2 linked regions of the Caenorhabditis elegans genome follow. The protein of the gene in region 2 purifies or fractionates together with the protein of the main gene of each other region. This does not show direct contact. Each region holds a gene or a part of one and is shown on either strand. Other genes may lie near its edges.

Region 1 (3,925 bases), on a different chromosome or scaffold from region 2:
TGTTATTTTTTAATGTGAAAAGAGAGATATAAAAGCGTTTACTTTACTATGAAACAAAGTTTGAGAGCACATCAAAAATGCACAAATCCTATGTTCATATTACTTTATCATCATCAAAACACCGTTTCAAAATTTTAATATCTTATCGCCACACTGTAGTTACTGAACAAATAAATACAACTCGGTATGTTCATGTTTTTAACGCTCATGTTTCCCGTGACATGATACGACTGTGCATTTTATCTTATCAATGAACTGCCAACATGTAAAACATCACAAGCAAGCACCGGTCAGGTTTCAAACATTAATTGTAGTCTAGATCATGATTTAAATCAGGGCGGAAATCTAATAAACAAGGCAGTTGAACTCAATCCCGGCACTTCACCAACATATGGCCTAGGGAATGTAACTTTAATTTTTTACAAGGAAACGGTTAAAATTTGCTATTTGAAATATGCTAGAAATGTGGAATAAATTATTAAACTACTCTGACTGTGGAAAATTTTAAAATATGACAAGAACTGTGTTTCTCTCGTTCAAACTTTTTATACACGTGAGCGGAAAAATCGCTTACAATACAGACTGAAAAACAAAAAGCAAACAAAATAATTGGAATTGTAATTTGATAATTCTTTATGAAACAACTTTTCACAAAATTTTTAACAAACTTTATTTCTAAACTCTAATATTATTTTTGAAAACACGTTTCAGAAGTTCACTGATCTATTTAAAGTTTTGAAAATATTTCTTTAAGAATTTAGAGGTTTCCAAAAAAAAAAAACACTCCGGAATAAACAACTTAGATTGTATATATTTTTTGTATATAATTCATAAAACTTGAACTGCTATTCAAGCTGACAATTTTAATACTGAATGTTTCTAGATTTTTAAGGTCAAACTGAGACACCAATCAACAGGTTGGAAGGTCGTCAAGAAAGAGAGCAAAAAAGAATAAACAATGACGCACACTGTATGTGCCGGGTGGCAAAGAACAGTTGAACAGTACAACTGGCAACAATAAACTATTTTTAAAAGACATTTCTCTACCTCTTTGAAGCATTTTTTAAATTTGTTACAGAACAATGTTCAGCATATTTTTAAAATGGGAACAGCCAACATTTCTATTTCACATTCTTTTTAAAAATTCATTCTTTTTAAAAAACTGTATTCGTAATGTTTCATCCAACGTAATGTCTGGTTATAAAATTAATACACGTTTTAAAAACAATATTGTGTATCATTTAAAATTCAGAAAGTACCTTATTATTTAAAATTTCATGCTTGCATCTAGTCATTCTTGTCTAATTACAAAAACATTCACACTCTTATTTCCGTATTTTGTAGTATGAAAAACTAAAAAAAATTCAAACTGTGTATTCAGGTTGAATGACTATTCGGAAACACACTGGTTACGAAATTAATTTTAAAAATTCTAAGGTTCTCACTTTCAGATCTTAACGTCTACAAAAATGAATAAAAAATTGTCAACCATACCTCATCTGTCCTATTTGTAAGCTTCTTGTGATTTCTCAAATATAACTTAGCGAAAAATAGTATTTGGCAGTTGAACGGAAAGAAGGAAATGGTTGAAACAACTCCGCGTCACCACCGCCACCACCGGATTTGTTTGCTCATCGGTGAGAGGAAGAGAACGAAAAGATAGAAAGTAGGAAAAGACTTTGCTAATATTCTTGTAGTCACCAACCACAAGTGCCTTTTTTCAATGCTATGCCGATTCTCTTGTCCCATTTCGCTTTTTAGCTCTTCACAATATGTCGTCGTTTCTACGGCACTGAATATGAGCCAAAGTGTATTACTATTGCTTTTAATACTCACTTTACACTGAAATGGGCTTAAAAGTTAAAATTTTTCCAAAAGGAAAAAAAAAACTTGACCAAAAACTACTGTGCAAAAAGTGACTTGCTGGAAGAAATGTCTTTTAATTTGTGGGATATGTGTTTCACAATGTATAATGGTGAATTGTCCATAGGTATTATTTGAAAAGATTACATTTTTTTATTTATTCAAGATCTACACGATGGACTGTACTCCAATAATCTGTCTGATAGTGTTGAAGAACATAAAATTTGAGTTGGTAAGGGTTTCTTAGAAACTTTTCTCCTATTAATTTTTTTAATGAAACCCTAAAACGAAACGTATCTATTTGTACAAAACATTTTCAAAATTGACTTGGTTGTTTGCTGGATACGGTATTATCTCTATTAGTCTTGAACCCTACGGACCAAAGGAGAAATTGTCTTGCATATTACTAATTCATATTGCAAAACACGATATTGCATTTTTCTGTAGCTGTAACTCTGTCTTGCTACATTAACCGAAAAATACTTTAATTGGTACCGTAATTTTAGAATTCATCCTTTTAGAAAAAATGCTACATAGTTTAAATTGCAAGTGATATGTTCCACTAATATCGGCATCATATTCACAAATTCCAATAATCTAATTTTTTAGTTAAAGCCGCCCTAGAAAACATTTAAGACCAAAGTCACAGTTATGAATTGTCTATGTGTTTTCAAATTAAAAACAAATAGAATTTTGAATATAGCGAATCTGGACACTCAAAACAAAAAAAGACCCTCCACCAAAATCTGAAAAGGAACTCACCTATACTGCCTTAAACTTACCAATTCTTCCAAATCCACTTTTTCATGGGCATCATATTTTTTGTAAAATTGTCCATTGTTTCTGAAAAAGAGCCAAATTAAATTAAAACAAAAAATTCATAATTATAAATTGAACGTTCAGGTGTGATCAGATCATTTTGGTCTTAAAATTCCTTTCAGGGAGAACGCGGCAACTTCTTTTAAGTGAGAAGATGGATAGTGGGCGGTAATGATGATGTCATTCGGTGAAAAACCGTTTTGTCTTATGTTTAGGTTCATCACGGAACCTACCAGTGAAAGCAAAAGTAAGTAGGTGGGATCTGTGGTTTGTCAGTTGATTGGAAATAATCAAGTTGCAAAACAGAACAGAAAAAGAAGATTGGTTAAAATGAATAATGAACTAGTCTTAATTGAACATGGAATGTTTATCAACTTTTCAACTTTTTAAATTTTAAGTCTTTATACTTTTAAAAATAACCTACATCATTATGGTCAGATCAAAAGTCGCCAGTCTACAAAAATAATTGGAAGTGATTGTTGAAAATACAGTGGACTTAACTAATAAAGATACGACAAAAACAGAAAATGATAATGCATTTTGTTATTGAGGCGGCAAAAGGGACACTTTAAAACAGCAAAAAACCAATCTGCAAGTTGAACTATTTCCTAGATAATTATTCTGGTTTTTGAGACGAAATTTTCAATAAATTGGAACAAAACTTGATTTCAATTATTCATGAACCTACCAAAATAGATTTCGTTTGAAAGGATTTTACTAAAGTTTTCGGGAACATGATTAAAAAATTTATTTATTTTTTTGGAAAAAAGACACGTTTGTTTGGGAAATTAAAAATAATTAGAAAACATTACAAATCAACTACAGTGCGTGCATGTTCTATATGCCACCCCCTAAATTTTCGGTTATGGCAGTTTCTGTGTAATTTGGTAAGCAAAGGGTATTGAAATCGGATTCACAATGGTGAAAAACCTATACTCCAAAACTTTTGTGATGATATCTCAAAAATTACGGAAAATAGGTCAAAAAATCGAAAAATTGGCCGTGCAACTTCTATATGCCACCCCCAGATTTTTTGATGATTTCTTACAATTTAAGACATTTAAGCCGGTGTTTAAATAAAATTTCATTGATTTTGTATACATTTCAGTTCTAAGTAACTATTCCTATACCAGCACACCATTTTCATTTACATTCATTTACAAAGAGTTTTTCTGTTGATAATGTTTTGTGGAAATTCTGAAAAGAGATTTTAAACAATATTATATTGTTTTATTTGTACTTC
Region 2 (3,925 bases):
CGATCTTTTCGTCTAGAAAAACCTATAAGCACTATCTGGGGGTCGAACCCTTGGCCTCCCAAGTCGTAGTCAAGCCTCTTATCCACTAGGCTATCTGCGCGGCGGCGCCCAAATTTCTTGCCGACTGCAGTGTGCTCCTTGGCGCAGTGGCTAAGAGGCCTGCCTTCGACTCAGAAGGTCAGGGGTTCAAACCCACGACACCATATATAGGTTTTTCTAGGTGAGAAATTCGAATTTTCAACTTTCAACCCCCTTAAAACAGCCTGAAACTATGTTTTTTCTTCCAGTATGCCTTGGTCATCACCGAATGGTACTCATTTCTCTCCGCAGTACTCATCGCTTGGTCTATAGCCGGATTTTTCAAAGCACCAAGCCCCCCGGCAACCATTCAACACTCTGATGTAAAGATTTTCCAAGTGGAGCCAACTCAAAAACGGAGCTTATCAATTGTGGAGTGAAAAAAAAAGAATAAATATTCATTTTCTCAATAATTCAGTAATGAACCCGTAAACAAAATTACACGATTTGGTGATAAAAAATGATAACATAACAGACATCAAACATCAAACAAATAATCTAAAATAAAAGTTATTTCACTGAAAAACGAGCCGAGTGTCCTTGGAAACTCCGAACTTTGCCTTGTGCTCTTCAAATAACTCGGCGAGCTTTTCCATATAAACTCCATGAATTTCATCAATGACTTCCTTAGAAGGATCGAGCTCTTTTTCCACTTGAATAGGCGCTCCGACAACTACATTCACAGCTCGGCTCATTGGAAGAAGCCCAAGAGCCATTTGAAAATATCCTCTTCCGTAGATTAGTGGCAGTGAAATTCCCATTTTCTTCTTTCCCCATTCTTGAATTTTCCGTAATTTCGAGCCTTCCGGGTTGTCAATTTGCTTATATATGTCATTCTCTCCAAACGCATAAACTGGCACCAGATGAGCTCCGGTCTTCACGGCTTCTCTCACGAAACCTTTGCGATTTGCCAGTGTTAGAGTATGCTTCCCTGGGTGAGCTTCAAGAGCTTCAGCGGCTCCACCCACGACAATTACAACGGCACGGCCCTTTTCCTCGGAGTTGAGCACGTGCTCGATGGATTCTTTGGAGCTCTCGATCATACCGATGCTGAGGAGGATCTCGCGGCGGAACATTGCGGTGAAGTTGCCGGGCAAGGTGCAGATGTTGAAGCGGATGCCTTTGAACTGGAAAAACTTAATATTTTGAAGGTAACAATGGAAAAAAAGTCATTTCTAGGTCGATTTGGAGATTTTTAAAGTAAAAATTCGAGCGTTTCACCTAGAAAAACCTATAGGCATGTCCTGGGGGTCGAACCCCTGACCTTCTGAGCCAAAGCCCAATCCGCTTACCCACTGCGCCATTCTCGCCGCCTGTTGTTGAGGTCGAACTGAGGCGCCGAGTCAGTAGTGGCGCAGTGGCTAACAGATCTGGCTATGACGCAGAAGGCCAGAGGTTCGATCCCCGCCACTGTTTATAGGTTTTTCTATGTGAAATTTTCAAATTTTTGTGTCTCAACTCACCACTTGCTTCACATTGCACGCATCAAATCCAAAACAAGACCACGCTCCGACACCGAGAATTCCATGAGGATGATATCCGAATAAATAATTTTGGTTTGGATCCAACTCCGCAGTTTTGTGAAGTTTAACAGGAAAATACTCGGCGAACCACTTGTGCAGCGACAAATTTCTGAACCAATTATCCCGATATCCTCCTCTTCTCGGAGATTCTCGATCGTAAAGGTACCAAACTGCGTAGAGACCCAAAATAATCCACTGGCCGGTGAAAAAGAGCACAAACGGAGCCACCTGGCACAGGCAGCAGAATGGGTAGATGAGCCCGAACCAGACGACCAAGGCGAAGTAGGCACGCTGGCGATCCCATGGGGAGAAGATGTTCACCCACTTGATGTCGGTGAGCTTTTTGTGAATTTGGTAGTTTAGCATGCTGGAAATTGTACCTTTAAATGGAAATTCGAACGAAATTCGGAGGAGATTGAAAAAATCAGAAAAACCATACATTTTTGAACTTGTAAAGTAAAATTTCTAAATTTCTCACCTTGAAAAACATATATTCAATGTCGGGGAATCGAACCCCTGGCCTTCTGCGCCGTAATCTATCCTTCTAGCCACTGCGCCACGCTGCCAAGTGGCGCGCGCTCACAGGTGGCGCAGGGGATAAGAGGCTTGGCTATGACGCCGAAGGTCAGGGGTTCGACCCCGGCAGACCCATGTAGGTTTTTACAGGTGAGTAATTCAGTATCCAATCAAAATTAGTTCAAGAAAACGAAAAGTTGCAACAAATGTCACTAAATTTCCGCAACCTCGAAAAATGGTTGATTTTCCAAATTCAAAAGTGAAAATATTGAATTTCTTGTCTAGGAAAATCTATATACCCTTCCAGGGAGTCGAACCCGGGACCTTCTGCGCCATAGCCTAGCCTCTTAGCCACTGCGCCACCTTGCAAGGCGTGAGCGCCCTCGAGTGGCGGTAACGTGGCGCAGTAGGTTAGAAGGTTGGGTATGGCTCAGAAGGTCAGGGGTTCGACTCCCTGGACTGGCTAATAGGTTTTTCTAGGCGAGAAACTCAAATTTTCAACTTTAAAATGTAGAAAGTCACGCTAAAAATGCAAAAAACAAAATTATTTTTCAAAACAAAACTATATTTTGAAAATGAGACAAATGACTAAGACCCTGTGGTTTTTATACGTGTCACTAGACTACTAGACTACACCATTAGCCTCCGTGTACCTATCGATTTAAAAAAACTGATAAGATTGAAAAGTCAAGTGATAAGACAACGAAATTTCGCAATTTGTGTTGGGGTACCCCCCGCAATTTATAGAACAAAATGTGCACAATCAGCACTTGGAAATTTCGCCGACATTGAGCAACTCCGCCCACTATTAGGGTGTTCAGATTCACGTGAACTTCAATTTTTAAGGTTTGTACGTACAGAAAACGGGCAGTTTTTGGGTTGATAAGGGTATCATTGAGTCATGGTTCAGGCAAAGTATACGAGCAAAAGTTGAGGGTTTGAAAATAGATTTTAGAGGGAATTCGACAACACCAAAAGCTCTTTTTTCAAAATCGTGTTTTTCAGCAAGGGTATTTTTTGTTAATTGTAACTTTAGCTAAAATTCTTCGTATTTGAATTTTTAGGCCTGAAATTTAGCCGAAAAACTTAGACTTTGTATAAAAAATTGGGTACTGTAGGCGGCAAAGTACGCAATATCGGGGCACACTTGCGTACTTGGCATTTTATTCGACGAGCGGAAAAATTTAGCGAATTTCGTCTTTTTCTCGATTATAAACCGTTTTTTCAGAGAAAATAATAAAAATTGAACATTTCTATTAAAATATTAACCTTTTCGGATGATTTTCATGTATTTTCTTCCTAAAATTGACGATTTTCCATAAAATTAACGGAAAAATAGTGAAAAATGTGAATTTTTTACTGGTTTTATGGAATATCAGCCAAAATTTGCATTAAAAAGATCAAAATTTATTCAAAAAGTAGATAAACGATTAAAAATTATTAAAATTTCATTTTTTTTTGCAAAAAAAAACCCACTTTTTTGGGATTTTCTAGTAATAATTGTAAAAATTCAGTTTTCGGAAAGTTTTTCAATTAAAAAAAAACATATTTTTACAAGGCAAATCCAGCATTTTGGGAATTTTTCAGATTTCCAACACATTTCTGACGATTTTTAATATATTCAGGTTTTTCAATATGAAATAGTGAAAATCAATAAATTTCCAAGTCTTTTAGTGCACATTCGGCAGAAATTCTTAATTTTATTGTCATTTTCGTTCCTTTTTAAGCCATTTTTCGTCAATTTTTGAAGTTTTTCTGCCAAATATCTGAAAAAAATTCCGTTGGAGTACTGTAGTCAGCGAAGTACG

The links.
Region 1: the proteins of dgat-2 (region 2) and acs-22 purify together in Caenorhabditis elegans (affinity purification with western blotting, with the first as the bait; one study listed by BioGRID). This does not show direct contact.

The regions. Positions count from the first base shown.
Region 1 is NC_003284.9:8,928,893-8,932,817, reverse strand, and holds the start of acs-22 (Very long-chain fatty acid transport protein), read right to left. Parts: upstream 1,640-3,925; 5' UTR 1,500-1,639; coding exon 1,495-1,499; intron 1-1,494.
Region 2 is NC_003283.11:17,658,346-17,662,270, reverse strand, and holds dgat-2 (Acyltransferase), read right to left. Parts: upstream 1,969-3,925; 5' UTR 1,968-1,968; coding exon 1,542-1,967; intron 1,494-1,541; exon of another isoform or gene 1,422-1,493; intron 1,389-1,421; exon of another isoform or gene 1,315-1,388; intron 1,206-1,314; coding exon 594-1,205; 3' UTR 461-593; downstream 1-460. Other genes in the region: F59A1.11 (Serpentine Receptor, class T), read left to right, coding at 288-458.